3 linked regions of the Coturnix japonica genome follow. The protein of the gene in region 3 purifies or fractionates together with the protein of the main gene of each other region. This does not show direct contact. Links are inferred from orthologs where the notes say so. Each region holds a gene or a part of one and is shown on either strand. Other genes may lie near its edges. The genes, in order: CUL4A, CUL4B and COPS9.

Evidence for each region.
Region 1: the proteins of COPS9 (region 3) and CUL4A purify together in Homo sapiens (affinity purification with mass spectrometry; 3 studies listed by BioGRID and IntAct, with this or other methods). This does not show direct contact. The link is inferred for Coturnix japonica from reciprocal best matches to the Homo sapiens genes COPS9 and CUL4A.
Region 2: the proteins of COPS9 (region 3) and CUL4B purify together in Homo sapiens (affinity purification with mass spectrometry; 3 studies listed by BioGRID and IntAct, with this or other methods). This does not show direct contact. The link is inferred for Coturnix japonica from reciprocal best matches to the Homo sapiens genes COPS9 and CUL4B.

Annotation. Positions count from the first base shown.
Region 1 is NC_029516.1:123,889,880-123,900,372, reverse strand, and holds part of CUL4A (cullin-4A), read left to right. Parts: intron 1-1,609; coding exon 1,610-1,713; intron 1,714-3,875; coding exon 3,876-3,945; intron 3,946-5,348; coding exon 5,349-5,422; intron 5,423-6,316; coding exon 6,317-6,479; intron 6,480-7,976; coding exon 7,977-8,066; intron 8,067-8,922; coding exon 8,923-9,005; intron 9,006-10,493. UniProt on the Homo sapiens protein: Core component of multiple cullin-RING-based E3 ubiquitin-protein ligase complexes which mediate the ubiquitination of target proteins. As a scaffold protein may contribute to catalysis through positioning of the substrate and the ubiquitin-conjugating enzyme.
Region 2 is NC_029519.1:15,288,107-15,299,098, forward strand, and holds the start of CUL4B (cullin-4B), read left to right. Parts: upstream 1-5,214; 5' UTR 5,215-5,280; coding exon 5,281-5,293; intron 5,294-6,013; coding exon 6,014-6,523; intron 6,524-9,218; coding exon 9,219-9,334; intron 9,335-10,992. Other genes in the region: MCTS1 (malignant T-cell-amplified sequence 1), read right to left, coding at 812-879, 1,793-1,926, 2,856-2,953, 3,490-3,642, 3,867-3,877.
Region 3 is NC_029524.1:4,031,403-4,041,080, forward strand, and holds COPS9 (COP9 signalosome complex subunit 9), read left to right. Parts: upstream 1-4,998; 5' UTR 4,999-5,068; coding exon 5,069-5,131; intron 5,132-5,206; coding exon 5,207-5,279; intron 5,280-5,517; coding exon 5,518-5,555; 3' UTR 5,556-5,830; downstream 5,831-9,678. Other genes in the region: OTOS (otospiralin), read left to right, coding at 2,029-2,080, 2,401-2,427, 4,022-4,200; ADIPOQ (adiponectin), read right to left, coding at 9,559-9,678.

The sequences.
Region 1 (10,493 bases), on a different chromosome or scaffold from region 3:
AACCAGCATAAACAACAAAGTAATCATGTAATGCCTGCTTGTTTCCATCTTGTGTGTTTTGGAAGATAAGCTCTTCAGGATATTAGAACTGATAGAGGAAACAGTACAAGCAGCAATAACTAGCTTACTAAACAGAGGACTCGGCTCAAAACAAGCCATTAAAGTGGTTATTTGAAACTTATACATGGCTTGTGTAGGTGAAGAGCCTACAGTGCTGTCTTTCTCATGTCATAATAGAAGAGATAATTATTATTACAGCTTTTTCCCCAGTCTCATTGTGTGCAAGATAAATAAAGATCAAATCAGGGTTTCTTTCAGAGGCAGCAAAAAATCTGAACAAAGCAAAACATGCAGAAGAAGGAAATTACTGGTTTTCCCTTCTGCCTTAGTCAATAAAAGGAAAGCAGAAAGAGCTTGCTGAGGGCAGCGCTGTGGTGATAAGGCTGTGGTTTGAAGCACGCTTCAAGCCTTTGCCACTGCCCAAATTGCTACTTTTCCCTTCACCTTTCTCTTGATCTACTCCTACGCTAACACAGTTCTTTTTGTTATCTTAAAGTAGAACAGAGTGGAGATGTGTGTTGGTACTGAGGCAAAGAGTTACATGCTGGCATTAGGCAACGTTCTGCCCAGGGAGGTTGTGGATGCCCCATCCTTGGAGGTGTTCAAGGCCAGGTTGGACGGGGCCCTGGGCAACCTGATCTAGTAAATGTGTATGTTTGGTGGCCCTGCCAGGCAGGGGGGTTGGAACTACATGATCCTTGAGGTCCCTTCCAACCTGGGTCATTCTGTGATTCTGTGAACATAACTTGTCACATCTCAAACAAAATGCACCTATAAAGCTAAACTTTGTGGAAAAACAAGTAAAGACTGAGAAAACACCAACACTTTACCCAAGTTCACTGATGCTGTCAGCAAATTCATCAGCAAAATATGTCACTGTCTGTCCTTTGGAGCAAAGGAAAACATTCTTGTGTCACTTGTAGTTGCCCAGATGAAGCAGTGCTCTAAGTATCACAGAATCACAGAATTGCAGGGGTTGGAAGGGACCTCTAGAGATCATGGTGTCCAACCCCCTTGCCAAAGCAGGCTCCCTACACCACGTCACACAGGTAGGCGTCCAGGTGGGTCTTGAATATCTCCAGAGAAGGAGACTCCACCACCTCCCTGGGCAGCCTGTTCCAGTGCTCATGGTGCAGGATCATCTCACAAGAGAAAGGAAACCAAGGTGAGGTTAAAGGAAGAGAATAGCTGACTTTCTCATCACATCTAACTGCTTTGGATAATTTTCTATGAAGCACTGAATGGCCAGAAGTACTGCTGTAAACTTCACAGTCCTCACCGAATGTTTGGCTGTCTTCATTGTGATTCATTTTAGGTGCTGTGGTCTATTAATAAAATAGTTTATTGAAATACGGGGCACAAGTTAAAATAAAGCGCGCCTGGAACAAAATCTAAATATAGGCAGTGGTATCAAATGAGGCTACGTTTTCTCTTTGGCATTCCCACTGAGTTTTTTGTGAGAGGGAAAAAAATGTTGATTATACAGGGACAAAAATGAGAGCTCACTTAATTGTTTTTAACCTTGTCTGTTAACTGTTTTTGGTTTTAGGCTGTTGAAAACCTCTGTTCCTACAAAGTCTCTGCTACTCTGTATAAACAGCTGCGACAGGTCTGTGAAGATCACGTGAAAGCACAAATCCTTCAGTTCAGGGAATATCCTTTTCCTGTGCGAAGAAATTGTTAGATTTGGGCTTAAATCATGATTTTTAAGTAAGTTTTTAAATGATAGTCATAACGGTGGTGTATGCAAATGTACAAAGAGATTCTTTGTTTACCACTGATGTATTTTCAGATGGACCATGAGCAACTTGAGTCATCCAAGGGAATAATTTTAGTATTTAGAAGCATGGTAGTAATGAACCATTAAAACAAGTATTTGTTTTGTTATGAGTGCGAATTCATAGTAGCACTATGCATCTAAAATCCTCACAGATCTAACAGCAGGTATGGATTCCTGTGGCAAATGTGTGGTGGAGATGCTTCTCCAGTACCAATAGCTGAAGAAAAACTAATTTTTAACAGCAGTGCTGGGAGTCTTCTGTAAGATAGTTCTTAAGCCTCTCTGTATGGCCAGTTTTAAGTACTGGTCAGCAGTGATGTTTAACGGAGGCATTCACCGAGCCCTTTGGATACCTCACGTGTACCTTGGGAGACAGATCAAAGTTCAGAAGATCACTTGGCTGCCTTGTGACCTTCAGAACACTTGCATTTCACAGCAAATATCCCCATTGTTTTCTCAAGTTCTATTTCTATGCTTCTCTTTTTTCCCTCTGAACTGATGACAAAAGTGCTTGCAGATCTCCTCTGGAAGCTTAAGTGCAGCCAGCACTGTTTTCTGAAGCCTGTTGTGCTTTGCATGCCGAGAGCATGCTTTATGTGTCTTGTATGTAAATAGTCTACTGGTTTGCGCTTGCTGGGGAAGTAGGGTAAGTAGAGCCCATGCCCAGCAGGTCGTTCCCAGAGAGTGTCTTGGCAAACAGATGCTGGCGAGTGCTGGAGTGAACAGATGCTGTAGTGATTTGAGTGCTTGCCCTGCTTCCCAGGTCTCTGGTGGATATTCTGTTACAGAAAATGATTGGTTGAAATAGGAAGAAACAAGGGAGCGGGGCCCAGAAAGAGCCCTCTTTGTAAGTGAATGCCTTTAATGTGCTTAGGATTGTGACTCTCAGTTTCTCACTTCACCGCATTCTCCAGGTAGGTGCCTACACTCATAAAGAAGATAAATTGCTTTCTCTGTTCCTTTTTTTTTTCTTCTTCTTTTTTTCCTTTTATATGGCTTAGCTCCAGCACGGTGGTTTTTGTTTGAGTTTTTTTGAGTTCCATTAAAAGGGCCTTGCTTCTACATGTCATACATGAAACACTGATATTGAATTGGCACTGTGAATTCACCTCTTAATTAGGTGGCGTATTTTTTCTATTAGATTCGATTCGATTCATTTTTAAATGACATTCAACTAAAAAGTCCATTAGTTAATACAGTAGTCTTTTAAATGTAACGGAGAACCAAATCTTTTGGTCAGCTTTAAAGCAGTAGACAGTTGGCCAGTTTTGCATCCCTGACTTTTGAGGCTTAAGAAAAACTTAAGCTGTAAGACTTTGTGTTCCTTCCACAAGCCCAATAGAACCAATATTTGGAGAGCTGAGAACTCTGCATTCTACAGGTATACTGCTTTATATCCCAAGGACATGAGATTAGATTAATCAGATTTGACCAAAGGGAGTTGGAGATGGCATTGTGTAAGAAATGAAGGCAAAGCCACTTTTGGGTTTACTCGTGATACAGTAGAATTCTAGTAACAAGTAATGATTGGATCCATTATATAGCGAGTAAAACTTCATGTTTTAATTGAGGAGACCTAGAGATGTATATGGAAAGAGCACTATTTGGATTTATTGAGGATTATTTGGAACTGCAAATGCTTTCAAGAGATTAGGGTCACTCCTGTGGTGCGCAGTGTGAACTCATTAAACAAAGTAAACCTTTCTATCCAGCTCACCTCCATGGGTGATAAGGTTGGTTTTGACACTGATGGGATTTCTTACTTACATCTATATCAGAGCTATGCAGTGTGGTCGGTAGATGGTATTAGTGAAGGGCTGTGTGTGTTGTTCCTTGAAAACATAGGGAGGTTTATTGGAGAGCTGCCAGTTCCTGTGCTGGACAGAAGCTTTGCAATTAACCGTTCATCTCTAGGCAGTCCCAGCAACATCGGAATATCCACGAAGGAGATTTGCTCAATGGCTGGCAAAGATCATCTCTGGAATCTGACCTCAAAAGTTACTGGCGAGCTAGTTTTCCTTAATAGGTGCTGTACAGATTCTCTGGATAGTCTTTTATTTTTAAAGAAGATAAATAAATGCTGGCAAGATCATTGCAGACAAATGGTAAGTTGAGTGTTTGTTCAGAATGTGTATCCTTGAGAAGTACAGCCTGGCAAAAGGGAGCTTTTAACTTGGGTCTGTGATGCGCTTCCTCCAAGTTTCAGTAGGACTTTTCGCTTTCCCCTTTACTGGCTGGGAGCCGTTCTGTTGTCAAAAGTTACATTCTGCTGTGTTATTGGTTTGCTCTTCATTGATTTCCTAGTGGTAACCAGCTAGAATATCACTCAGAAACATATTGACTCTAGTGAAATCATTCAGCAACCAATTCTTCAGTCTTTGCTTATAGATCACTCCAACTAGGTTAATTTGTGGCTTTTATTTTGTATTTTTTTTCAAAACAGAGCTGAATATCCTGACTTACTGGGCTGAGAAACAGGAAGAAAACGACTCATAAGAATTGGCCTTTTAAGATACTACTTCATTATAATTCTAAGTTTTCCTTGCATTGTCACCAAGCTCTGGCTACAGGTGCCCAAAATTGTGGGGCACCCAAATTACTTCCTTTTCCCTCCCCCATGAGGGATGGGCAGGGATGTGTATGTGCATTTTATCTCGAATGAAACGGATAGTGTTGTGGAAAATATTCTGAACAAATTCTGCAGTCTGATGAAATTAAGGTTGAAGGTTATTACCTTGAAAGTTTGATTAAACTGGACCTGTGTTTTTATAAATATATGGTGTTTTCTTTCTGTGAACTCTGTTCTCTTTAATTACTTTTGAGAGTTCCTTTTGTTGGTTTTACTTATTCATGTTTATTCATCAGATCAACAACCCTGTAGGAAGTGGCTTTCTTGTCCAGGTGCTGAGGTAGTACCTGTGGTGTTCAAGAAAACAAAACAAAACCGATCTTGTTGCTATTTTACTTTAACGTGGTTGGCTAGAAATTGTGTGAGCTTGAGAATTGCTTTAGAAGCACTGAAATCCTTTAGAGGAGGATTGAGTAGGCATCTGAGGATAGGCAATTCAGTAGCTGGCCTGGCAGTGAGTTATGTATGGACATCCTGAGGTACTGTAATGCTAAATTAAAAGCTGAGCAGCCTTTTGAATGAAACATTTTTAAGTGAAATATGTGACAGCAGTTTACTGACAGTTGATAACTATGCTTGAGTAAATATGTATCTCAGTAGCACTAAGACTTAAACAGCACTAAGGCCAATAAAACTATTCCATTAATTGCTTATGAATTTGAAAATTGTCTTGAATCTATTCAGTTACAGTGATTAGTCATAGCATTAATGTTAACAAATGACATACCAGTAGAGATGCAGGTCACCAGAAGAGTCAAAAATAGGTGTAGCAGCAATGAAAAATCATGTGTCTGCAATGTAATTTTCCAGAATCTGCCTTATAATTTAAAGTGTTACATGCTGTCAAAGAGAAAAAATGTTTCCTTGATGTGTTTTCAGATCATGATCAGAAGCATTTTCTTATTTTTGGATCGTACATACGTACTTCAGAACTCAATGCTTCCTTCTATATGGTAGGTATCTGCATGTGTGCTCCTTTAGTCTGTACAATTTGTGCTGTATTTATAAAGGTTGAAAATATAATTTTTTTTTTTCCTCACAATATATTTGAGCTGTGTAGTAGGTTGATTAAATTTTTGTGTTAATTTATGGAAAATTAATTCTGTAATATCCACCTTCCCCAGGAGGTAATATGAGGGTAAAATAGGAAGGTCACTGTGGATCAGCTGCCAAGTTTGGGTGAGGCTGCTGCCCCTGGGCCTTCTCTTTCAGTCTAGTGGTTCTTCAGGTGTTCCTGGTTTGGCAAAGTTCAGAGCTTGGCTATTGGCTCTGTTGTTTTAAATGTTAGGTGCACTCACAAGGTGCAGATCATGTTTCCTGCCCTGGCCTTTTGTGAGTTGAGACCCGGGCTCAGAGCTCTGAGGTTAACCCCTGCTTGCTCCTGCAGTTTGAGCACCCCACAGCCACGTCTGTTTCTCAGCGTCCTTCCTGAGAGACATTTTGTATAATCACCAAGACAAACAAATCCATACTTTGCCACAATTTTCTGGTGTCTGTATTCTGTCTAAAGCAAGAAAAGATGTAGATAAAATACTGAAGTAGCAGCGTGCCTCTTCCCTGCGTATATTACTTCTGTGCTCTCCCCTCAGGATGGGGAGGAAGATGGCAGCTTTTTGTGATAGTTCTTCTTATAGAATATATACATGATTAATAAATTCTCTCTGTGTAACGTATAGGTGAGCATAATAGGTGAACAGTTGGACCGGATGATCTTTTAGGTCTTTTCCAACCTTGGTGATTCTATGATTCTATATTTATATATAATACGTATACACACATATTTTCTTTAACATGCAAATTTGAAAAGAACCAACAAAGTGATGTCTTAATTTTCATTATTCACACAGGGACATGGGGCTGGAATTATTTAGGAATCATGTCATTAGTGATAAACAAGTTCAAAACAAGACTATTGATGGAATCCTCCTGCTGATTGAAAGAGAACGAAGTGGTGAAGCAGTGGACCGAAGTTTGCTGCGTAGTTTGTTGAGTATGCTGTCTGATCTGCAGGTGAGTACAGCAAACCTCAGCCATTACCACTAGTTTTAGAAACTGACTTTGGACTATTCTGGCGTGTGTGTTATACAGAAATAATTTTATTCTAGTAAATATGTGCTTCAAAATCTGGCAAACAGATTGAGAAGGCGGTTCCCTTTTCTTTGCCCAATCCACAGTCGTTCATTCTGTTTTTTAAGTGAGATTTCTGTGCTTGTTTTCTTCTTAGTTGCGACATGTCTGTGTTATTTGCTTGTTTCTGCTTTCCATGTTAACTTTTCTGACTTTCGTCCATAACACAAAAGATTTAGAACTGATAATTCTGTTCAAGAGAGAAGAAGGACTTCTTATGATATGAAAAATCATTAGCAGATCTGAAGACGTAGATCTGATTTGTGTGCTCTTTCCCACTTTTTTTTCCTGTTACTTGGCAGTCTTCTCTTAACTGCATCAGTTTTTTGTAGGTATTACCAGTGAGTGCTACTGTTTTGTTTCATTTTTGTTTAGCAAAATACACTGCTAACTAAAGGCATCTCCTCTATTAGATCCTTCTTACAGGTCTGCATTTCAATCTGCAGTCTTCTTCACTCTCTCAGAAGTGTTTTCTTTCTTCACTCTAGAACCTAACAAAGTGTATTCTTTTATATTATCAGGCATGAGTGTGCTTTTGATCCTGCCTCCAGGATCTCTGCTTCTCTCTCCTCTTTCATTGGAGGTTAGCTTGTGGTGAAAGATGAATTAAGAACGCAAATCTTATATTTCATTCAAAAATAATTAAGCTCTTTCTCATTCCTGATTTTTAGGCAATTACAAAATTGGAGACCAACTGCTGAAAGCTTATTCCTGCTTGCATCAATCTTGTTCTATTGCAGTTCCCTGTTGTAAAGCTTTATACGTGGTCTGTGTAGAAATAACTCCTTATTACGTTAGCATAGGTCAGAAAGTTAGTGAAGGAAAGGAAGGTAAGATATAAAGTCTTGGGTTTGATTCAGTTTAAAGAGATGGCTAAAGCAATCAGTTAGTGTCTGCTTATGACATTGAATACTATTACACTCTGAATACCTGTCAAGCCAGAGATTTTGTTTGATGCGCTGAGGAAAAAGCCAAATATTTGAAAGTACTTCCTTATCAGCTTTGTTCCTAAGGCACGTTACTGAGAGTATCATCATTTTACTGTTGGGAATTACCTGTTTTGTTTTCCCAGTTGGAACTGGCCCAGAAATATCAGTGGGGGTTTTGAGCTCACGTGGATTAGATGTCATTGCTGTGCTGTTGTGTTGAGTGCTGGTGTTTGTGTGAATTAAACAGAAACCTGTCAGTTTAGACACGCTGGGAAGTCAACTTTAATTGTAGTCTTTCTAAAACCAGTGGGGAAAAAATCAGATTTCTGCATTTATATAATTTTAAACATTTATTTTGCCTTCCTGAGATTTTACTTGCCTCCAAGTAAACCAGGGTACGCTACTTTTAATGGCAGCTTAATGTAAGTAATTAAATTGATTTCTTGAACAGGTTTACAAAGAATCATTTGAACAGAGGTTTCTGGAAGAGACAAATTGCTTATATGCTGCAGAGGGCCAAAGATTAATGCAAGAAAGAGAGGTAGGTGCATGCTGTAGTTAACTGGTTTTATTTTAGTTCCATCTGCTATGGGATTATGTGGGAACTTCTGGTAGCACCACAGAGTGAATACTAAAAGAAATTTACAAGGGTAAATGATGATTATGCTTTGGGGACTGTGGTATTGTATCAAAGAGAAGAACCAATTCCAGTTTGCCATGATGTTGGGTATATGTATAGATATCTAGTATTTGTATATTGCATATAGAAACACAAATGAAGGGTAGGGAAGTCAAGTGACATTTTTTGTTGCTAAAGTCATGCTGCCAGAATGCTCATCTCCATGTAAAGCTTAAAAGCGTGCCATGAATATGGTATTTTTCTGAAAAGCTGTGAAATATCCACTGCCACTGGTCTACTCTGTATTTAATAGCTAAATTAACTGTTTACTTGTTTTAAGAACTTTTGTTGCATTTATTTTGCTGTTTTGTTCCAGTTACTTACTAGTTAAGTAGACCTTGAGACATCTTTGTTTTCTGTGCTTTTGAGATGAAATTATGCTTTGTGGTGGGCAGCCTGAAAATGTGTTTCTTCATGAAAATGTACACGGACAATATTTCCTGGTTGTCTAAAATAGAGCATGCTACCTTTATTAATTCAGTATGTACACTGACTCTTCACTAGTTGAGAATTGGTAGGTGCAATTACAATGCTTTTATTATGAGGTAATATCAATCATTAAAAACATAGCTTGTGTAGCATATTACATTGTTGTGTAATATTTATTTCCAATCCATGCTCTCATTAAGTTAGAGTTTTAAAATACTTGTCATGAACAAGGTGATCATTCATGCTACTGTACACAACTGTTGAATTTGTCCTTCTCTTCTCTTGCAAGGTCCCAGAATATCTTCACCACGTTAGTAAACGTTTGGAAGAAGAAGGAGACAGAGTGATAACATACTTAGATCACAGCACACAGTGAGTACAAATTTCATTGTTCTTAGCACAAGTCAAGCATCCTTCATAAAACGGTGTGACTATCCATGGCTGTAGAGACACAGAGATCATCTCTGTACATACTATTTGGTGTTTTTATTGTTTCTTTAAAGACTTTATTAATATCAGAGCCAATTTATTTTAAATCCAAGTATTTCTTCCCTAAGTAAAAGGGGAGAAATCTATCTAGAAATCTTCCACCATGAGTTGAAGTTAACAAAATATAACTCAAACGTTCACTAGGGGGAAGAAATGTTAAATTATGACGTGGTGTAGAGAACATGGATACAAACATTCCATTTTAGTTTACAGTGGATCACCTTTGGTACAGCTGCTGCCAATGGGTTGTGCAAGGCAGCTTGTTCTTTTTGGCACTGAGGTACTGAGTAAGAGCATGCATTTTACTGGGGTAAGAATGCACAGTCACTGATGGGCTATAAATGTATATATAATTTATAAATAATGCAGTGGTTGCTTTTGAATAAAGAACGTAACTAGATGGAACTCATTTAGAGCTCTTTGCCCTCACACCTTTTTATTTCCCCTAGGTGAAGTGTTGTCATTTCATTGGGTGTTAAAGAGATCATTGAATAATTTCTCTCTTTTTGTCATATATATTTGAAGAAAACAATAAGTTAAGCTCATGCCTTATATATCATGGTGCATATTTGAGCTTGAGTTTTCTTGCAAAGTGCCTACCTTCTTCATGCAAAATTAGTCAGGTGAAAACATGGAATTATTTCTGTATGTAAATACGATACTATGTCTGTCTGTCTGCTTCTTAGTACTGTTCTGCTTTAGGTAGACCAGTTGTCCTTACTTTTTCTGTTGTAAGAAGTTGTTCTGGGGTAAAGGATGATATTTTATGTAACCTTGAGTCCTATTCTTGAGGACAATCAGCAATTGTAGGTAGCAATAGCTGGAAGTTTCAACAAAAGTAGCTGTAAAAATGGCTTGATGTATGAAGACCAAGGGCCTGCCCAACTAGTCTTTCACGTTCACTTAGGAGCACTTTAGGAAAAGAACAGAGTAAGTACTTGTGACACTGTACTAGTACCTGCCTGCTTTTGGCTCAGTATATTTTCTGAACCTGATGCCGTTTGCCTGTATTGTATTATCCATTGGATCTCTTTGAAATACTTGTGCCATCTCACTTGGATTCATGTAAGCTTTTCCATCTATGGCATCTTTGGCAAGGAGACTTCTTTGCCCCCAGCCCAGCAGCACATCAACTACCCCATAATAGATCACTTCCTTTTGTTTATTTCAAGTCTGGGTCCCAGTGCCGTCACCGATATCCCCAGCTCCTCAGCTCTTACATTGGAAGGGAGAGTGATCAGCCTGTTGCTGTTCACCTATTTTCGTGCCCATCAGTGTAATACTATATGTGTTACTGCCAGGTCATCTCTTTCCCAGAGTCCAAACCCAAATGTGTGCAGTTGTTTTTCTTGCAGCTGCTGTTACATAATT
Region 2 (10,992 bases), on a different chromosome or scaffold from region 3:
AAGTTTAAATCCCCTGGGAATCAAGAAGGAAAATACCTGTGTTAATTCCACTAACGCATCGAGTATCATAATACAATGTGATCTAAATACTATTGTTTCTTAATTTTCTGTTTTAGACAGTATCACAGAAAACAGCGCGCATAGAGCACTGCCATTTCCCTTTCCAGTTCATGTTACTTCCCGCAGGAATACAATATTCAAGTGAATTTGAAGTAAGGATTAGGAACGCACAGGCTTTCAATGACCACAGCAAATCTCTGAAGATGTGGGATGGGACAAAGGTAGTTACATATTCCTTCTCTCAACCTTTTCTTAATGGCCTCAAGTTGTGCCAGGGTAAGTTTAGGTTGGATGTTAGGAAACACTTCTTTACAGAAAGGGTAGTCAATACTGGAATAGGCTCCCCAGGAAGGTGATTGAATAACCATCCCTGGATGTGTTTAAGAGCCATTTGGATGTGGTGCCCAGGGACATGATTTAGCAGAGTTCAGCAGAATCTCTGATAAAGTATTATCAGAGCGTAAGAAATACTGACATTCAGAGACACCACCAAAGTTGTTTGTCTTCTATATCTATATTCACATAAAGTAACTATTTTGACTCCGTAAGGTGAATAAATAACTAGGAAAGATATTCCTTGCCTCCTTCTTCCCAGCTTAATGTTAATCAAAAAAGCTTAAATAAACGCTATACATAAAAGAAACACATTGCAACAGTGATTCAATAGCCTTGACAGTAGAGCTTAAATTACAAACTAAAGAAGAAATTATGATATGGGACAAGTTATATTTCATTTTTTTACAACACTTACATGTCATCAGCTGACATCTTCATGACTCCCACACATAACGCATGTTGTTTTCCTTCTGCCATTATTGCCTCAAAATTACGGCTAAGGAAAACAGGTTGGTTTTTTTAATGTTACTTCCAAAAAGTAAAAGCAGTAACAAGCAACTTAAGGAAATCACTTTATAAAAAAGCATCAAACTTCCTAGTAGAACTTTTGTCCTTCCAGTAATTGCAGAGCACTAACTCTTGAAAACAGGCAAAATGAACAGCTGAATCAGTGCACAGAATGCGAAGCACATATTTATGAACTTCAAATAGCAATTACAAAACAACCTCCCAACACAACTCTCCATATGTTCCTCCCCATCTAATACTGGTGCTGCAGCTACACATGGCACCATTTTACATCACACTGTACAGAAGAACTGAGACATATCTGAAGAAATCTAGAAGATAATGGAATGAGACATTCTTCTCAAAGCTCAGCAGCATGTAATACTACACATGCATCTTCTCCAATCGCATCTGAATAGCAACAACAGCTGTAGAGGTTGGCACTGATACTGAATTTGCTCACAGCCCCTTTCTCAGTAATGCATTCATTCCCTAAGAAATGAACTGTGCTCTTCTATAACTGAAAAAGATAATTGTTTTAAGGAAGCAGGGGAAAAAATTATGTTGTACCTCACCTCTTTCAGCAACCCTGCCTAACACCGGAGGAGCTTCTCTTACCCATTACATTAACAGAAGAGCTTCCCATCTAACCAAGCACAGCAGGAACAGTTAATTCTGGGGGGGCTTTGAAACATCACAACAGGAAAAAAGGATTAAGAACAATGTGAATCTTTCCAAATAACATTTAAAGCTTTGCAAATCTTTTCAGGTTACTACTTATTCCATGAAATAATATTCAACACCAAAGTAATTAAGTTCATAACCAGCTGAGAACATACACATACAAATTCAACTCAGCAAGAAGTAATTCATAATTAAAGAAGGATACAACAACAGTATCAACGGCAGCGGGGTAAAGTTTTGCTCCAGGAGACGTCAGGCCAGGACACATTATATTAGCTCCACTTAGTACAAATTTAATGGCTCCTTTATCAACCTGCTGATGTGGTAGAATAAATGGATCTAAGAGGGGAAAGATACAGCATTACAATTAATACATTAAGATAACAATATGAATAATTCATTACCATATCGGGGCAATTAGATGAATAATGTGCTGCATGGGCAAGAAGGTTGAGAAATTATTAGCAGCACTCATGCTGGGCAACATTGTCCTGAAAAAACACAGGTACTGTTTTTCCTGATTAAATCTTTGTTCTGAGAGCTAAAGGCTGGGGATCTCAGAACCAAACAGAGGGCCTATCCTTCCTGCATGTACACACAGCCCTTATAAAAGCAATAAAAAACTAAAACAAGCTTCAGCCAAATAAAACAATCACTGAAGTGCCTGCATCCTAAGGGATGTTAAATGCCTCAAAAGGAAAACAAACAAACAAAAAAACCCATAACCATACATACAACTACTTCCATTACAAATAAACACTTCAGAAGTAACGGGACAAAATAGGCAAAGACAGACAAAATTCATGAAGGTCAGTTCTCACAAGCATTCTCCGGGTTTGTGCAACATCAAGTATTTCAAACATGGTTTTTAAATACAAATCAACGTTTTATGAACAGCCAAAGTCATCCAAAGCAGTAACAGAATGGAGGAGAATAGCAAGAGTAGAGATAAAGTAATGCTAAAGATTATATTTTAAGAAGTAAAAGCTGGAAGCTAGAAGGAAGCACAAGAATTCTGCAACGTAATACCTAAAAATCAAAAGTCGGATTACTTAATATAGAAAATTACATTTATTTTGGAGATAACAAGCCACCTAGATACCTAAAGCAGCAATGTAAATACAGACGGAAATATATAATACATCTTTAAGACCTGTATAATGCACTATATAAATATCAATAGGTTTTTTTAACTCAGTTTTACAGAGGTCTTTTTATTGACACGCTCACCCCTCTGCTCCCAAAACCACCATCCTTAGAGAACTTACATTTGTGAAGTAACCTTAGCGTTGGGTAAAAAATCCCTTCTCTTTGTCTGAAGAACAGCAATTCTCCATTCACAGTGAGGATTTCTATATGTTCATGACTGCAAAATAAAATCAATGTAACCTTAACAACTAATTATCTCTTTCGTAAATTAAAGGCCCCACATTTTCTGATCTACATTGGCAACTGAGGATAATTAAGGCAGTCAATTATCAGGAACATATAAAACTAAAAATACCAGATGCTTTCTTGGCCTCATGCACTATTCCCTCTCCTGTTCTGTAGACAGACAGACAGACAGCTGATCACAAAAGCCAGCAAAAATATCATATCCTCTAATAAAATAAAACAGTTTGATCTTCTGAAGCCATAAAGCTGAATGCTTCCCTTCAACAACAAGCCAGTCCCAAGAGAGTCACCATACAGGTCCAGATGTTTACCAGCAGGCATTCCCATTTTCCTCCAGCACCCTACAAGCATGTTTTCAACAGCATGATAAGCACACACAGGCACTTCTACCTACAAGAATGAATACATCCTTTTAAAGCCCCTAGGCTGTTCTCCTACAGAAAGTCAGCATATACATGAAGCAACCCAAGCACGTTGGAAACAGAGGTTAAACAAAAAGAAACTCACCATCTTACTATTTTGACGGGGTCTTTCTTTGGCATGATTTGGTTTAGCCATGGTTCGATAACAGGAAATTGGTCTATCAGCTGGTTCTTAATACCTTTAATAACTGAAGTCTTCAGCTGGATACAGTTCGATACGTTCTCCTTTTCATCAAATCTGCCGAGCAAAAACATTTCAGAAACACTGAATTAGCTGCCCAAACGACGTAACGTTTACAGATATTAACAACATAATGTGCCCAACTTTGAGATACAAGCTTACAAGAGCCGTGACGCCGGCCCCGGCCCTATTGCTGAGGCGGACGGAGCGCCGGGCCCGGCCGAGCGCACTCACAGGGCCCATAGCGGCCTCCTACAATCAGCCCAACCAACCCCACTCACTTTTTGAACATCCTGGGACGGTGGGAGCCGGGACAGCGAGATCCTGTGCCGGGCGTGGACCGGCGGGCGCGGGGCGGGCTGCCGGGACTCCGCGCTCCCTCACACGAGGTCCCGGCCCTCCCCCTCCAGCGCCAGCCGGAAACGCCGCGCGCTTTACGGCATGTCGCGCCGCTGTATGACAACGGAACTGCTGAGGCTGGGAGGAGTGGTCATTGAGAGCAGATCGGCTGAGAACGACCTGGGGGTCCTGATAGATGAGAAACTTAACGTGAGCCAGCAGTGCGCACTGGCAGCACGGAAAGCAAATGGGATCCTGGGCTCCATCAGGAGAGGGGTGGTCAGCAGGGATAGGGAGGTGATCGTCGCTCTCTACTCGGCTCTTGTGAGGCCCCATCTGGAGTACTGTGTCCAGGTGTGTAGCCCTCAGTACAAGAAATACATGGAGATTTTGGAAAGGGTCCAGAGGAGGGCCACGAAGATGATCAGGGGGCTGGAGCACCTCCCCTATGAGGACAGGCTGAGGGAGTTGGGTTTGTTCAGCCTGGAGAAGAGAAGGTTGCGAGGTGACCTCATTGCAGCCTTTCAGTACCTGAAGGGAACTTACTCCCAGGAGGGGAGTAAACTCTTCGAAAGGGCTGATAATAGCAGGACTAGGGGAAATGGTTTTAAGTTAAAAGAGGGAAGATTTAGGTTGGATGTTAGGGGGAAATTCTTCACTAGGAGAGTGGTTCGGCCCTGGAACAGGCTGCCCAGGGAGGTTGTGGATGCCCCGTCCTTGGAGGTGTTCAAGACCAGGTTGGACGGGGCCCTGGGCAACCTGATCTAGTAAAGGTGTATGTTTGGTGGCCCTGCCAGGCAGGGGGGTTGGAACTACATGATCCTTGAGGTCCCTTCCAACCCGGGACATTCTGTGATTCTGTGAATGGAACGCGCTGTGTCTCTGTGCATGTGCATGGATGGCAAAGCAGGATGCGGCTGTCTCGCAGTACAGCCGAGGAAGGGCCGTGCTCATCCATAGGGCGGTGTGATGCTGTGATGGAACGTGCTGACACCGCGCTCTGCTCCCAAAGGCTTCAGAGTCACCGGCATGAAAGATCAGGCCACCATCCGAGCACCTTTTCTATATCAAATCAACCGCGATACATAGCATCCACACAACGTTCAGCCAAGCTTCCACGCGTGGCACAGTCTATTTAAGCGCTGTGATACAGCCGGTTCAGGACTCAAACACCGAACAAACCCCTCACGAACCACGCACGGCACTGCGCCCGCACCGCGCATGCGCACAACGCCGGCCTCAGCCACAACGGCGCCGCCATAGGCCACGCCCCCTATAGGCCACGCCCCTCATAGGCCCCGCCCTGCGCCGGCGCGCGAGGGTTCCGGCGGGCGGCCGTTATAGCGGCCGGCAACCATGATCACTTCCGGTAGGTCAGAGGGCAGGCAGCCGGCGGCCGTGTTGAGGCGTTGGCTGCGGGGCAGCGCGAGGGAGCGGCGGGACGAGCGGGCGGGAGGGAGGAAGGGCGGAACCCGGCGGGCAGGGCCGCGCCGCTGGGACCGCGGGGCCGAAGCGGGGCCCGTCGGGCGGCCGCGCCCCGGCATGCACAGCGAGCGGATGCGCCGCCATCTTTAGGCTCCCTTCCCCGCCTGGAGTGACAATAACAAGCACCGGGCCCGGCCGCCCCGGCAGCGCCCCGGCAGCGGAGAGGGGCGGGCGGGAGCCCTGCGGAGGAGCGGGCGGCGGGGGCCGCGCTGAGGGCGCTGAGGCCGGGGCGCTGTTGGCCCCGCTCGGCCGAGCAGAGGTGGCGGGGCGGCGGGGAACCGCTGGGGCCGGAGAACGGCGCTGAGAAGAGCCCGAGGGTGGACGGAGGTGGGGGAGGAAGCGCTGCTTTGAGGGCGGGAGACGGAGGAGAGCCGCGAAGAGAAACGGAGTCACAAAGAGAAGGAGATCCGGTGTTTCCTCCGAGGGATAAGAAGGAGAAGGAGGGGGAATACCGAGGGACTGTGTCGATAAGGAGAGAGGAGTTAAAAGACTCCGCTGAGAGACGCCACCGGAGGCTGACGGAAGAGCTCTGTCCTCTTTGTCGCGCTGCCAGGATTTGATGCCCGTCAGCCTGCTCATTTCTGTGTGTTCATGTTTCCCACAGGTTTCTCTTCCCCCAACCCCTCCACTGCAGCTCAGGAGGTCAGGCCCGCCACTGATGGTAGTAGCGGCAGCAGCTCCTCCTGCAAGAAGAGAAAGTTAAATAATAGCAACTCTGAAAGAGAGGAATTCGATTCCATTTCCTCCTGCTCGTCATCTCCTTCCAAAAACAACTCCTCCTCGTCTTCTTTAGTCATCACCGCCTCTTCGTGCTCCTCCTCGGGGGTCGCCTCCTCCAACCATCACCTCCAGAAGAAGCTGCGCTTTGAGGACTCCTTGGATTTTATCGGACTCGATGTGAAGATGGCTGAAGAGTCTTCTTCCTCCTCCTCTCCCGCTGCCTCTTCTCAACAGCAGCACCAACAGCAGCTCAAAAATAAAAGCCTTTTAATTTCTTCAGTGGCCGTAGGGCACCATGCCAACGGCCTGACCAAAGCTGCCTCCTCTACTGTGTCCAGTTTCGCCAACAGTAAACCTGGCTCCGCTAAGAAATTAGTGATCAAGAACTTTAAAGGTAACAGACCATAATTCCTCACAATCTCTGCGGAGCTGCCGCTCAACTCTGTGTTTTGTTTTCAACATGAAAACCTGGTTGGCTTTCAAATAGCTCCAGGTTTTACAGGAAATGCTTTTTTGTGGTAAACATTCTTAGACTTATGTAAAGGGGGGTTATGTTGATGATGCGTCCTTGCCCGATCACGTGCACATCTGAGCCAGACTTCCCTGCTTGGGCTTATTGTTCTGACTGCATTCACTCTGTTGAGGAGAAGGCCCTTTCTAGTATCTTGAAGGAAACATTTTACTGCCTAAGTGTGTAAATCACCTTTGATCAAACTTCTGAGGTTTGAAAGCACTTTTCCAGTAACCCAGACTCAGGGTATACAGTATATTTTAGCCTTGTTTATGGTAAGTCTTTGCAAAGTATCCTTAAAAAAAAAAAAGACTTGAATCTCCATGTCTTGCCCACGTGTATTTTGTCTGTTTGTAGGTTAATCCGCTTGTGCTTAGTTTTAAATGTTGAAACTAAGGTGATTATCCAGCTCTTAAGGCGGATTTCCTTTCTGCTTCTCCTACTTGACTTCAGAGTAGGTAGTTCAGACTTTTGCAGGTTATTTTTCTTGCAGTATCATCACTGCTGTGCTTATTGCTTAATTTTTTAGCATCTTTTCTACTTTAATATGCTCTTCCTTTTTTTTTTTTCTTTTCAAATTTACATTGTTTTGTAGTTTCTCAACCAACATGGTGGAGCTTTTCCAATGTTGTTACTTGAGATCAACTGAAGCAGGGAAATGAAGCTTTCTGATGTGAATTCAGCATGATATTCTAATGAACAAAATTGAACTAGGTGAAGGCAGCGATCCTAGCTAAAATTCTGTAGTTTTTATCCTAAAAAACGTCTGAGAATTGTGAGATTTTCTTGTTAGTCCATTCTTCCCTTTCAAAGTAATTCAAGAACTTACTTTCCTGAGTGGTTTTGTTTTTCTTCTTATGTTTGGGTGGGAGAAGAGAGGGCTTAAAGGTCTGACAGAGATTAAAACGTATTTCTAAAGAGGCGGTTGATACAAATGTGCTGTAGAGATAGCACAGAAGGTGAGGATTAAGGATTACCTGAGCCACTGTAATGTTCCAGTGTGACTTTTTGCTTTAAGGACTACTTAATTCTCAAGAATGTTCCCAGTCTGTTTCCCGTGCTGCCATGTCACCATCTGTTAATTTGGTTGCCTTAAAACCTTGTACTTAGGGTGCATGATGGCAAGAAATAAATGCTGCCACTGCATGTACTTTGTTATTTTTAAGAGAAGGCAACTTTTCACATTGAAAATATTAACTACATGCCAGGGATGACATGGAGCTGCAATCATCATTGCTTATAAATTGCTCTTGGAATCACTTCCTTAAAAAGAATGTCTTGAGAATCTGCATCTCTGGTTTTTATTTATGCTCATATGCCAAGATGACTAATAATCGTAGTGTGCTTTTGTCTGCGATAGCAATACACGTCCTTTACATCTTCCTAAGATTCAGTATGTTGCTATTTACTCCTGTATGTCGTATTCATTGCAGGCTAGTGGAAATGAGCAAGTCCCAGTTGTAGCGAGTTGTCTCTGTACGGTACAGTCAGTGTTGGGATATTGCCATTACTGTAGGGAAATGTTTGGGAGGGGGAAGTAAACAGAAGAAGGATTATTTTTTTTTATCCCCAAGAGAAATGATAAAGCTTTGAGGTGTTTGGTGGGGTTTGTTGTTGTTGCTGTTGGTTTTTACCTTTAAGTTTGCAAAGTCCATTAGAGTGCAGTCAACTTCACTTGTTGGTGACAAGGATATGCATCTGACTTCCCGATTTTTCTCCTTTTCCCATCTCCATTTGGGAAATTCTATGACCCAGCAGAAGGGGTCATTTGAGTGAGCTTGAGAACACATCATTTTAAAGCAGTCTTGGTTTTCTGAGGATGTGACATGGGTGATCTTTTTCATGCTGTGGTAATTGCTTTGGTCTTGTTGTGGGCACTGCGTAGCAGAGCCTCTGGAAAATCTGCAAACACTTGAGCTATACGAGCATTAGAAGAGGCCTTAACTCTACAAATATCCTCTGGCCAAACCCAAGAGAAACATAAATAGATTAGTTAGAAATCCAGAGATTTTTCCTCGTGACCATAAAGCCTGTATTAAACTAAGTATTTCTATGCACATTACTTGGGAGTTTCTTTCCAAATATTAACGCAGAGTTGAAATTATATATTTAATTAGAAATATGCTGTGCACGACTCCGTATCCCTTAATCCATCATTTTCAGCTTTTGTTGCTTTGATTGATTATTTTTTCCCCCTCTATTAGCTGTGCTGTTCTGGTACTAGAAGGGCTTGTAATGAAAATGCAGAACAGTCTTCTTGGGTTTTAGTGCTCCCCTCGCTGAGCTGCATAAACATGTTATTTAGAATGTTTTCTATTAGTATTTTTCAATACAATCACAGTCTCTTAGGGCTGCTGATGTTGTCATGTGTACATGAAGAGCAGTGCTGAATTTTTAGTGTGTTACTATTTCAAATGTAAGAAACTGCTTTTGCCTCATTGCTTTCTTTTCACATGTGAAGTATAACTCAGAACATCAACGTATACATTCTCCTCTCTGAGTTACTTTTGTAAAAGGTAAAATCTTTTGCTCTTACTAAACGCTTCCTCAAACTCTTTAAAATAATTTCTTTTTCAAGATAAACCCAAATTGCCTGAAAACTACACAGATGAAACCTGGCAAAAACTGAAAGAAGCTGTAGAAGCAATCCAGAACAGTACTTCCATTAAGTACAACTTAGAGGAGCTCTATCAGGTAAGTGCTTTAAGTACACTTAAGTACAAGTGTTGAGGTGAGGGATTTTCTCGGTGGTTTAGGGTTTTTTTTTTTGGTGTCTTTTCCTGTTGTTTGATCTTACAGCAATGGTAGGAACGTGACGTTCTGTTGACAAATAAGGCAAGTAGCTGTATTTGGGTTTTCTGGTGTGTGGCTGCTAAAGGAGAAATATGAAAGTCCTAAAATGGTGGTATTTAAGTAAGAAAAGGATTACTGACAGTTCTGATTGAGGCTCATAGGTAATTAATTTGAAAACCACCATTTTTTGTTTGCCTTTCTAAAAGTAAATATAATACTGTCTTGGTTCGGTTTGTCTGTAATTGCTTGTCATTCAGCATTATTTCTAACTGAGAACTAACATCTGTTTGTTTCCTGCAACAGCTCTGACTATTTTGCCCTAAACCTTTCAGGAAGTGATTGGTCTTAAGCTGCATCTCGTAACGTTTTATTTATAAACTTTTCTTTTTGAGTTAATGTGATAGGGAGTCGACTTTTCCTCCTTACTTACTCTGAACTTAAGGTTTTAGTGGCATTACTACTTAAGCTAGGTATAGGGAAGCACTCTCATTATTTTGAAAGGTTTTATTACAGTGTTGGTTGTTCTCTGTTTCTGTATCTGTTGTTCAGTTCATCTGTTTTTGAGTTTGTTCTTCCTCATTCCCTCCCTCCCCTTCTTGCTAAATATTGTTTTAGATTTGCCTGGTTTCTGTGAAAAGCTGGGGGCAGAAATGCAGTTTGCAGAAGGTTTGGGATCAGATCAAGGGGAAAAATAAGTTATTTTCCTTGTGAAACCTGGATCTTCCCAGGCCAAGTTCCTTGGTCTGGTGCATTTTTAAGGTTATGACAATTTTTTATAATGCTCAGTGGTGAAACTAATGGCAAAGTACAGACCACCAGATTAGTTCATATCTAAAATAACATGCTCTAGACTGAACAACAGAGCAAATAAGTGCACTGTATTCATAATGGCTTAAAGATGCAAGGTTGTTAATACAACTTTGTATTGTGCTATGAAGTTGCCACTTAAATTCCTGCTGCTTTTTCTCACAGCCTTCGTTTTTGATGACACTTGTGCTAACAAAAAAGGATAAGATTATTCTTTTAAATCTGTTTTAACATCGTAATGATGTAGATACATTTTAAGAAAATAGAGAAATCATACTTGATTGCACACTCATTTTTATAAATATAAAAGTGTTGTGATTTAAAATGATTGGGAATCACTGTTGTTTTTAGTGCATACTGATGTCATTTCTGAATAACTGTTTGGTAAATGGATCTGATTCCAAATGTGCCTTGGCAGACACTATCCAAGCATAGAGGAAGTTGCAGGAGTCTGCAGAAGTTGTTGCAGCACATATCAAAATAGGATGCCTTTTTTAATGGAGTTGTTTAGTTTCACTCTTGTCTGTGTTGGAAAAACTTGCTGAGCAGACACTGAAGTTTTGTTAGTTTGTGGCTGTTAGTTTTGCACTTACTCTATTCCCCCTCCAAGAGGAGAGAGAACACAGTTGTGAGAGGCTGAAATTCTGTGCGATTGACTGCAGCTTTATGGGAACAATTCTTCTGTTAATACCAGAAAGTAAAGATCTCGATCTTTGGTACCTTATCTATAATTACTTTTTTTCCCCTTAATT
Region 3 (9,678 bases):
ATGGCTTTGGATGCCAACTGGGTAAAGTATGAACAAAGGGAATTATGGCATGCTTATGGTATATGCTGCAAATCAGTGCACATTATGGGCTCTTAGTTTGGCCCCAGGAGAGTGCACAGTCATTGGAGCTAAGCAATGAACACCTGGAGCAGTGCTCACTCCAGTTCATCCGCTCTCCTCTAGTCCAGTGCTGTGATTAAGAAAGGATTAGACAATAAAGAAGGTGGAGGTGCAGCACTGCCCCATCTCAGTGTATGCCAGTGTGAGCCTCAGTGCTGTTAGGTGAGTCCACTGAAGATCATCCCATGTTGTAATAGACCCTGCTGTGACTTGAGTGACCCTGATAACCTCAGCAACTTTGTCATCCTCCCACAGCACCTCATCAGTTCCTGCAGGGAAGAGCTGCAGGATGGGGCTACTTATTTTCCTTTATCATCACCCAGGGCATGTTATCATGTACTTCTCATAGCCTGCAAAGCCCAGTCTGCATATCATAATCAAATAAGTTGTGCAGGTTTGGTCCATGGACCTGAACACATGGCTGCATCAATGGGCTTCACCAAGCAAGGGACATACTTTCTCATACTTTCTCACACCAGCAGCTTCTATAACCCAGGTGAGTGGGGCAGAGCTGCTGGCTGTACATGGGTGATGCAGGTACCCATCCTGCAGGCATAAGGAACATTAAAGAGGAGGATTAAAGCTTTTTGAAGACAGAATAGGTTTTGCTTTCATAATATTTTTCTTTTCAGCCTCCACATGAGTTGGCGCAGCTTAGTGTGCTACAAAGAACTCTTTATTTTCCCTTGCTTGGAACATCTCTAATTAATTCTTGGCAGGACTATCCAACTCTGCATGTAGATAGGAAGAAACTCCAGCAAAGCTGGGTCCTCCTGCAAGGCCATTCACTTGGGTCTTTCCATTCTGGGCCTTTGAGTGAGCAGGCAGGCTTTCCTTGCATGATCTTTGTACGGCAGACAAGTGGCTGTGGTATAGCAAAAGCACCAACAGTCAGGTGCCACAGATGCAGTGAGGAAATGCAACAGATTCAGTGGGGAAATGCAACAATAAGTGGTCTCTAGAATCATGACGGAGAAGTGATTTTTGTAGACTCAGACTAAAGGCAGCTGAAAGCTTCCAGCTAATGTTGGGGGGGAGTCAGCAGGGGTCTGCTTTTTTGTTTCATGCAGACTAATTGGCTGCAGTGGGCACTTGGTACAGCTGTGCATTTTAAGTTCTGGGTTGTAAGGCTGCGGCGTTTTGTGTTTTTGTGAGGAAGGAATCCAGTAACCTCTTCACAATTTGCACAGATAACGCTTCTAAACAGTTACTTTTCTGAAGAGAGGGGAAAAAATGTTAAGATGGTCAGGAAAAGCAGTAATAAATCTCAGCTTGGTCCTGGATTTTCTTCATCTGTTTTCAACATATCAAAGTCTCATTGCTGAAGTTGATTCGGAGATCTTTGTGCGTGTGTGTGTGCACAGTGTGAGCAATTAAAATGACTCTACGTGAAGAGGACGGGATCAGATTGGTGTATGAACTCGGTGACGTTTCTCTCCTTTCCCCCCACCCTTCCTTACACCGTGCTGCTATTTTACAGCACGCAAAATCCTTTTGGATTTTTGGGCTGACTCAGAGCTACAGACCTTTGCTATTGAAAGAAGGAGAAAAGGGGAGGGGAAGAGAGGTAATTTCTAGAGGGAACTTAAAACAACCAAAGTATAAAAGATTTCTGCAAACACTTCATTTTGTGTCAGTTTAGAGTAGCCTCTTGGGTTTATGCCACCTAAAAGTAAATACCAGTTAAAACTTTGGTAGGTTTTCTTTGTTAATACTCTGTGATGCAGTTCAGCAAATGTAATGCAATAGAATTGGATCTCGTTATGACTAAAGTAATGACCTTATTTGGGAACAGCTTTTTCTAATAAAAGATGAAATGCTGTATTTTGCATCGTTCCTCATCTCTTTTAATGATCTCCAGCTGTACAGATTGTTTGTCAGAAACACAAACAGTTGCTTACAGAGAAGATGAAAAGCATCGGCTTCCTTTTCTTCTGTATGCTGATGAACATAAGAACAGGTAAGACTGCTTAGATTTATTCAGGTTGATTTTTCAATACAAAAATCTTTTCACACTAAAATAGCATCTTTTATTTAGTCTCCGATACTGTCTGTGTATTAATTGCAACTCCTTCCTGGCATGTTTGATTTGTAGTATTCTGACTATAAATGGGCAATTCCTTACTCAGCTGTTGGAGAAACAGAAACTTTAGGCTATAAGGGGGGCTCTAAACATACCTTAAAGGAGTTGTCAGCATTGGTCTGTGCACCAAACCTTTTGGGAATTGAAAGTTCTTCTGTGAGAGAGTTGGTGCTGATGATTTTCCTGTTCATTTTCAGATGCCCGATCAATCCTGGAAGGAGATGGTAATGCAAGTATTTTTTTCTTTCTTATGTATCATTAATGATTCAAAGAGTCACTTGTAACTCCCTGAAAGAAGAGTGATTTTTTTTATTTATTTTTTTTCTCTATTTCTTTAATGCGGAAAGCAGATCTGTTAATTCCAATAATGGAGCTTCTATACAAACATTAACAAGTATGATGACCCCTTGAAGACAAGTCCTCCAAGGGGTTATGGCCAAGTCATTACTTATCTGTTTTATGAAAACATAACTGGAGAGCACCAGACTTATAAGCATAGGAGAGACTTCAGAGAATTGTGGCTGTTCTGGTAAGCAGTGAGGGATGTCTGTCCAGGTATTGGTAAGAAATACTGTCCTCCATGGCAAAAAGTAAAACATTTTCAGATTGCCACAAATCTGGTGAAAGAAATAGTGGAATAAATCCCTTGGCACAGCTGCTCTGCTGCTGTGTCCCTTCGGGTGATTAGCCTATTGGATTAGTGTTTGTCTTTGATTAGCAAAAAGCCTCCTCACAATCCTAATGATATTTGCAGTGGCCTACAGATAAGAATATGTAGGTTAACCTTGGTTTGGTGTGTTCAGACAAATTCTTTCTGAAAACAAAGTTGCATAGAAGTAAATCGCACAACAAGGTCACTGCTGTTGTTGGTGCACATCTAACCAGCAGCATCCTCATTCTTCTCATGCTCCGTATCTTTCCTTATGGCTCTCTAACCTTTTTGAATGCATAATCTCTGCTTCCACAAGTTTTTGGGTTGAACACACTGTTTTATTTGTGCACAGCGAGTATTTCTTTGGCAACCTCTTAGGTGAGAGCATGGCTGTCTGAAAACAAGATGTTCTTCAGCAATGTCCTCTTCTCTTTGTAAGCAATTAGGGTTTTCTTTCACACTGGCCATGCAACAGACTGCAAAGTGAATCTAAGTTCAGCTGATACTAACAGTTCTCTTCTGCAGACAGCATTTGGTTGGCTTGTTTGGTTTCTTATATACCATCTGTGCCTGTGCAGTGCAAAATTCACAACATGAAGGTCTGACGCTAAGATTGATTAAGGCTCTTCATTCCCACTAAACACCCTGGTCTGAAGCTGAGTCTGATGAAAGGAACAACTCCCTTTTATTTAAATGGGCTTAAAATCAAAATACTGGGTTTAACTTTGATGCACAGAAAGATGCTTGTAACTGTGTGGTTGCAGCAAGTGTTTATGTTTGACAGGATCCTGTGCAGGCCTGGATTTGGGCCCGAGGCAGGTCAGCTCTTGGCATTTTCAGAGTTTATTTTGGTTCTTCTCATCTTTGACTTTTATATTTGGCACAGAAGATGGAGAGAAAGAGCAATGGGGAAAATGGCTTCAAGTTGCCATTCCTCCTTGCTTTCAAACAGCCCGCTGCCTTCTGGAAATTAAAGCCACCTCAGCAATTCCTGCAATGCTGTTGGTGTCCCTTCAGTCTTGTCCCATCTGGTGCCCCTGCGAAGGGCACGGAGGGTTCAGTGGCTGTGCCCATGTTTGGCAGAGGGGAACCCCAAATGACATCGAGCCAAGCTTTCAACAGAAAAACTTCATGTTGTAATAATTCCCTTTCTTGTTTTATTTTAGATCGAGAACCTGTGGCCATGCCATACTGGCCCTTCTCCTCCAGTGACTTCTGGTCCTACGTGGAGTACTTCAGGACACTGGGAGCCTACAACAGGATTGCTGAGCTGGCCAGGGCCTTGTTTGCACAGCTGCCCGCGGGCAGCCATCTCGGCCTCCACCTGCCTGCACAGGAGGACTGAGCAGTGCCCACCACCATGCTGGGACATCACACCAACACATGGCTGCTGGTGAGCAGCCCTTCCAGTTGCTTGCAGCCATGTGAATGGGCCTGTGTAGTGTTATATGCATTAGAAACCCGCAGGTGAATTAGCCTCTGCTTTTTGCAAGCCGTGCTTTGTGCCAAATCAATAAACTCCTTGATCATATGGTGAGGTTTGGGTTCCTGTTGTATTATCGTGCTGCTGGGCATGTCTCAGGACAGCAAGCTCTGCTGTACATGCAGTCATAGCGTTACCCTAAATGGGCTGATCAGGTAACTAACACCCATGGGGTTATCCTCCTATGTGCACTGCTTACACAAAGCATCTGCAGTGTATATTACATGTGCTACGTACACAGAAGTTTCCCAGAGGTTAAGTCAGATATTCAGTGATTCTACTAGGAGAGTGGTCAGGCCCTGGAACAGGCTGCCCAGGGAGGTTGTGGATGCCCCGTCCTTGGAGGTGTTCAAGACCAGGTTGGACGGGGCCCTGGGCAACCTGATCTAGTAAATGTGTATGTTTGGTGGCCCTGCCAGGCAGGGGGTTGGAACTACATGATCCTTGAGGTCCCTTCCAACCCGGGTCATTCTGTGATTCCCAGCAGGACCCCCTATTTCCTCGATACAAAAAGACTCAGCAGAACTTGGCTCAGAGAGACAGCCCGTTCTGTTACCTACACAAACTGCAGGGCAAGCTTAACGATAATCATGTATTAACAGCGTTACATAGAGCAGAGCTCAGCACGGACCTCCTCCAGGGCGACCATAGAGAGGAGGCGCATAGAGCGGCGAGGCTACTTCCGCAAGATGGCGCGGCCGGAAGTAGGCCATAGAGCGCTGCGGCCGCCATGAAGCCAGCAGTGGATGAGATGTTCCCTGAGGGCGCCGGTCCGTACGTGGACCTGGATGAGGTGGGAGCGGAGGGGCCGGGTGGGTAGAAGCGGCTCTGGGTGCTGCCCCGAGGCGCTCAGCGTCTGCTGTTCCAGGCAGGGGGAAGCACGGGGCTGCTGATGGATCTGGCTGCCAACGAGAAGGCCGTGCACGCCGACTTCTTCAATGGTGAGGGCTCCTCAGGGCGGGTGGGATGAACAGCGTCGTTTGGTTGATTATTGTAGCGTCTTTTGGTTGATTATTGTTAGTATTCATTACAAGTTACATTGCATTGCTGTGCAATACATGCTGTGAGACCTGGCTTCTGTCGTTAATCTCAATACCAAGAGCAATGAAAGCTCGTGTGGTGTTTGCAGCTGTGATTTCCAGTGTTGATTTTCACCCTGTCTTGTTTTTTCCTGACTAGATTTTGAAGATCTGTTTGATGACGATGACATCCAGTGAACTGAGTTGTCCCGCTGTGCTGAGATGTGGAGTTTTCTCTCTGGGATCGCCCGTGCTGTCCTTTATTTATTGCAATGATTAGAACAGGAAAATCTCATAGGGGGTGTGAAAAAAAAGGCTGTTTAAGCTGCTTGGGGAATGTGGAATTCAGATGGTGAAAAGTAACATTGAACTGTGGGCTGTTATTGTTAGGAAGGTGTTTGTAGATCTGTCTTAAAATTGTACTTGATGTGCTATTCAAAACCAACAGCAAAAAACCTACAACCCCAATGAAATCTGTGTGCTGTGTTGTTTCTTTTTTATTGTTGTTTGTATGAAATCATCCACTGTTACTTTTGGTTATTATATACTGATACAGGGCAGGACATATCTCTGCCTTGAGGTGTTCTGTTCATCATAGAGCATGGGATTATCTGCTCATAGGGTGATTACTATTTCCTGAATAGGCATTGACTCATTGCACTAGGAAGACCTGTGGGTTTTGTTCAGTATCAGGTTTGATGTCCAGCTGCCATCAGTGCTTTGCTTTAACCTAAAGAGCTATTTTAGTATTGTTTTTTACTCAGGTTTTGATTTTTAGAGAGGTAATTGTATGATATTGCACCTTCTAGTGATCAAAGTGATTCTCAGGATGAAAGGACCAGGGAGTTTTTAATGTGTTATTTCAGAGTCAAGAGTTCAATCCTTTATTCTATTCTTAAATTAATTGTTTAGGATTAAAGTGAGGCCTAAATTCTATACATTCATCACAAAATAATCCTGTGACTGATCTTTCTTTAAAGAAACTTACAATTATCAATGCTCCAGATGAAATATTTGTGCTAAACTGTATGGAAAAACCCCAAATGAAACCCTTTCTTTTCCTTACCTCTTTCATATGTTTTTCCCTTGGTATTTTTTATCTTAAGAAAGAGGAGATAAATATTTTTAATCTTAGCTGTTCATTTGCTGGCCCTGAAACAACCGTGGGAGCACAATGAGTAAGTAGAACTATGTCTTCTTGTTTTGTTCTTGTGGATTTCTCAGCCTCTTCTATTTTGTCCTCCAGAGCAATTTAAAGCAGCGTATTGGTGTTTACTCTGCTTAGTGTTTGACACTGCAAAGTGACCCTCAGGGCTGTTGATGCAGCCTCCTGTTTATTTTTTACCTCTTGCTTTGCTTGATGAGGGAGGGATTTCAAGCTTTCCTCATTGAAAGCAATATAAACACTGACTGCTTAGTGTTAGCAACATTGTTTGGATTCTTCCTGTCTCTGGTGCTGCACTTTTTCTAAGCAAGGCTTTGGGAAGTGAGTCGTTTCCAGTAAACAGACACTGCGTTCTGAGTGAGTGCCAAAACAGAAAAGGCTTGAAGATCCAGCTGTTCCCTTTGGTGCTGGTTTGACTGCATACATCTGCTGATGCCCATATTCTTCCAGATAGTTGCCTTGGAATACTGTTCTGCTTTTTCTTCCTCCCCCGTTTGCCTTGTTAAATGTTAATAATAATAAAAGTCTTTAAGATTAATGGGCTGATTACCAGGGTACATATATTGTTAGTCATCTGGAGTATGAAGTTATCTCTTGTTCAATGAGACTGGAAGGAGAGTCTGTGCCTATAACTTTGTTTTTCTAAGGGAGTCTTAAAGTGTAGGAATTCTCATCAGTAACTGTAATTTCTTTGGGTCCCTTTTGGGGCCAAAATTCAGTTTGCTTGTAGTCAGCTGTAAGTTGAGCTGTATTCATGCTGTCTTATGTGCACTTGTGGCATGTACATATAAACCCTTTGTAGTCTTATTGCTTGAACTCACATAACCCCTCTTGAGGGGAAAGACATGAGTCTGTATATTGCTATGGATAAACATGCAGCTGAGAATCACGTGCACACTGGGTGTGAGAATACTTCTCAACAAGGGATTGTATTGGAGTTTCTAGCAGGCACATCCTTAGGTATGTTCAAGAAATCTGCGGTACACAGAGGAGCTGCTGGCACTGCTGTTGGTTCCCTTGACCCGGCTGAAGAAGCTTCTGTGAAGATATTGTGAAGAGGTTCCTGCCATCATACCACCAGATGGTAACTGGTGTGTGAAAAAGTATATTTGTTCAACCCCCATCATCCTTCCTGTCCTGATTCCTTCAGGGTTGTGGTGGGGAGCCTGGGGTGGGCTCTCCTGCTTTACCCCTTGCTCTCCTACAGCTTTATGGGTAGACTCCACAGATTTCTGTGAGTTGAAATTGTCTGCTTTGCCCCTCGAGGGGAAACAGATGTTGGTGCTTTGTGTTTCATGTTTCTATTTCAGTGGGAATAAACACCCTGCAAGTAGTGCAGGGCTGACAGTGAACCTGCCGGGAGGGAGCTCACACAGCTCTCCTCAAAGGGCAATGGTGTTAAGCAGAACAAGTGTCTGGGGGTGAGTCTAAGGATACCAAGTGGTGGGAGGGGTTTGCTGCTTTGCCATCCCAACACTTGATGCGCAGAGTGCTTTCATCTTGCACCTACATGTAGCACAAACAAGTCAAAAAACACACAGCAGTCTTACTCCTAGTATGGGTGTGCTCAGGATTGGGTTTGTCTAAAGGAAAAACTGAACCTGATGGCATTTCCTGCATGAAGTGCAATGACAGATTAGCTACATGTCGGCTTTATCCCCGTGCCTTCCATGCCAAAAAGCCTCTAGCAAGTTTATACTTGTCAAATAAATATGATAACAGGGCTTCCTGGGAAGCCATTTATCTTTCTTTCAGCCTGTCGTGGCTTAGTGCGGCTGCTCTTTGTATCCCAATTAATTACTGTCACAAATGATTACATGGGGCTGAGGTGCAATTAGAATCAGCCTATAATTGTCCCTAAAAGGGGCACGGATGCTTTCACAGATGGGGATGAAGCTGGCCAATGTCTCCAGCTGCATTCATGCTATTTTACTGTTAGTGTGCTGACTTTAAGCTTTCAGTGCTGCATGGTCAGGATGAGAGCATCTTGCCTTTCACTGAGCAGTAGTATAGGGAGGAGTCAAACATAGCCATCAAGATCAAGGGATCTGAGTGCTTTCTTTATAATCTGCCCTAATTGCAAAGTCACAAACAGCATTTTGGCCTCGGTATATCCATCATATTGGCTGTTATCTCATGGGAACTGACTGCAGTGTTTGCCCTAAGGGCCATCATTCTGTGAGAGCATAATATCTGGGGAGCACAGGGGGTGACAGCTGCTGGCAGCAATACTGGTGTTCTTTCCCACCTGTTTGAGCTCCGCATGCTCAGACTGTGTGTGTGTTCCTTCCTGGGCTGCCTTTCTCTAAATCCTTCCCAGCAATGCAGACAAAGAGGCAGGAGAGCTCTTTATTGAGAGAGCACTTTATTGTGATATTCTGTGCAGTGTGATAATCCACTGGGGTTCAGGAAATGCTGCTGTAGGAAGTATTTTCAGTCAAAGCCTTTAATACTGTCTTGTGCTTGTAGTAATGCCTTAGCTCTGCTGTGTGTTGTATACATAGGAAGGTCTGGGCTAAAGAAGGGAGAGGACAAACCATGGGTGGAGATCAGAGGCCCTGGTAAGGTGGGAAGTGACGATGGCCAAAGCCCAGCCAGCAGCTCCAGTTGGACTCAGGGAGGTAATGCTGGCTGATAGAGGTACCACTGTGTCAACTGGATTCAAGTGACAAAAAAGGGGTAAGGTAGAATGTGATATTTAAATGTAACATATATAAAAATCAACTTTAAATTTAAAACAAATGCCAGCCCATCTGGAGAGCGACCGTTTCATCATGTGGCTGGAGTGGTTTTTGATTTGGGGCCCTGGTTTCCATCAGGAGAGCAAGAGCAGAGGTAGGAGTGAACTCTTGGTCCTACGGGAGTCACCTGTGTGTCAGGTCAGTGATTTCAGGGGAGGTGGGGCCCATCCTGGTCAGTGGTGGCCCCCATGTGGTGAGGGGAATTTTCTGGTAAATAGAATACAGCTGTAGTGCTGGTGCCCCAGAAGGCAGGTGGGGTTAAGCAGCCTTGTCCCCTCCCATGTAGCCCCCTGCTCTAATGGTCATCCATGTCTGGGTACAGGAGGAAGCCCATGAAAGTGGAATCATTGATGTTGTCAGCATAGACCCCGTTGTTGTCGCCCTCCCCATACACCTGGAGCCAGACCTCATCCCC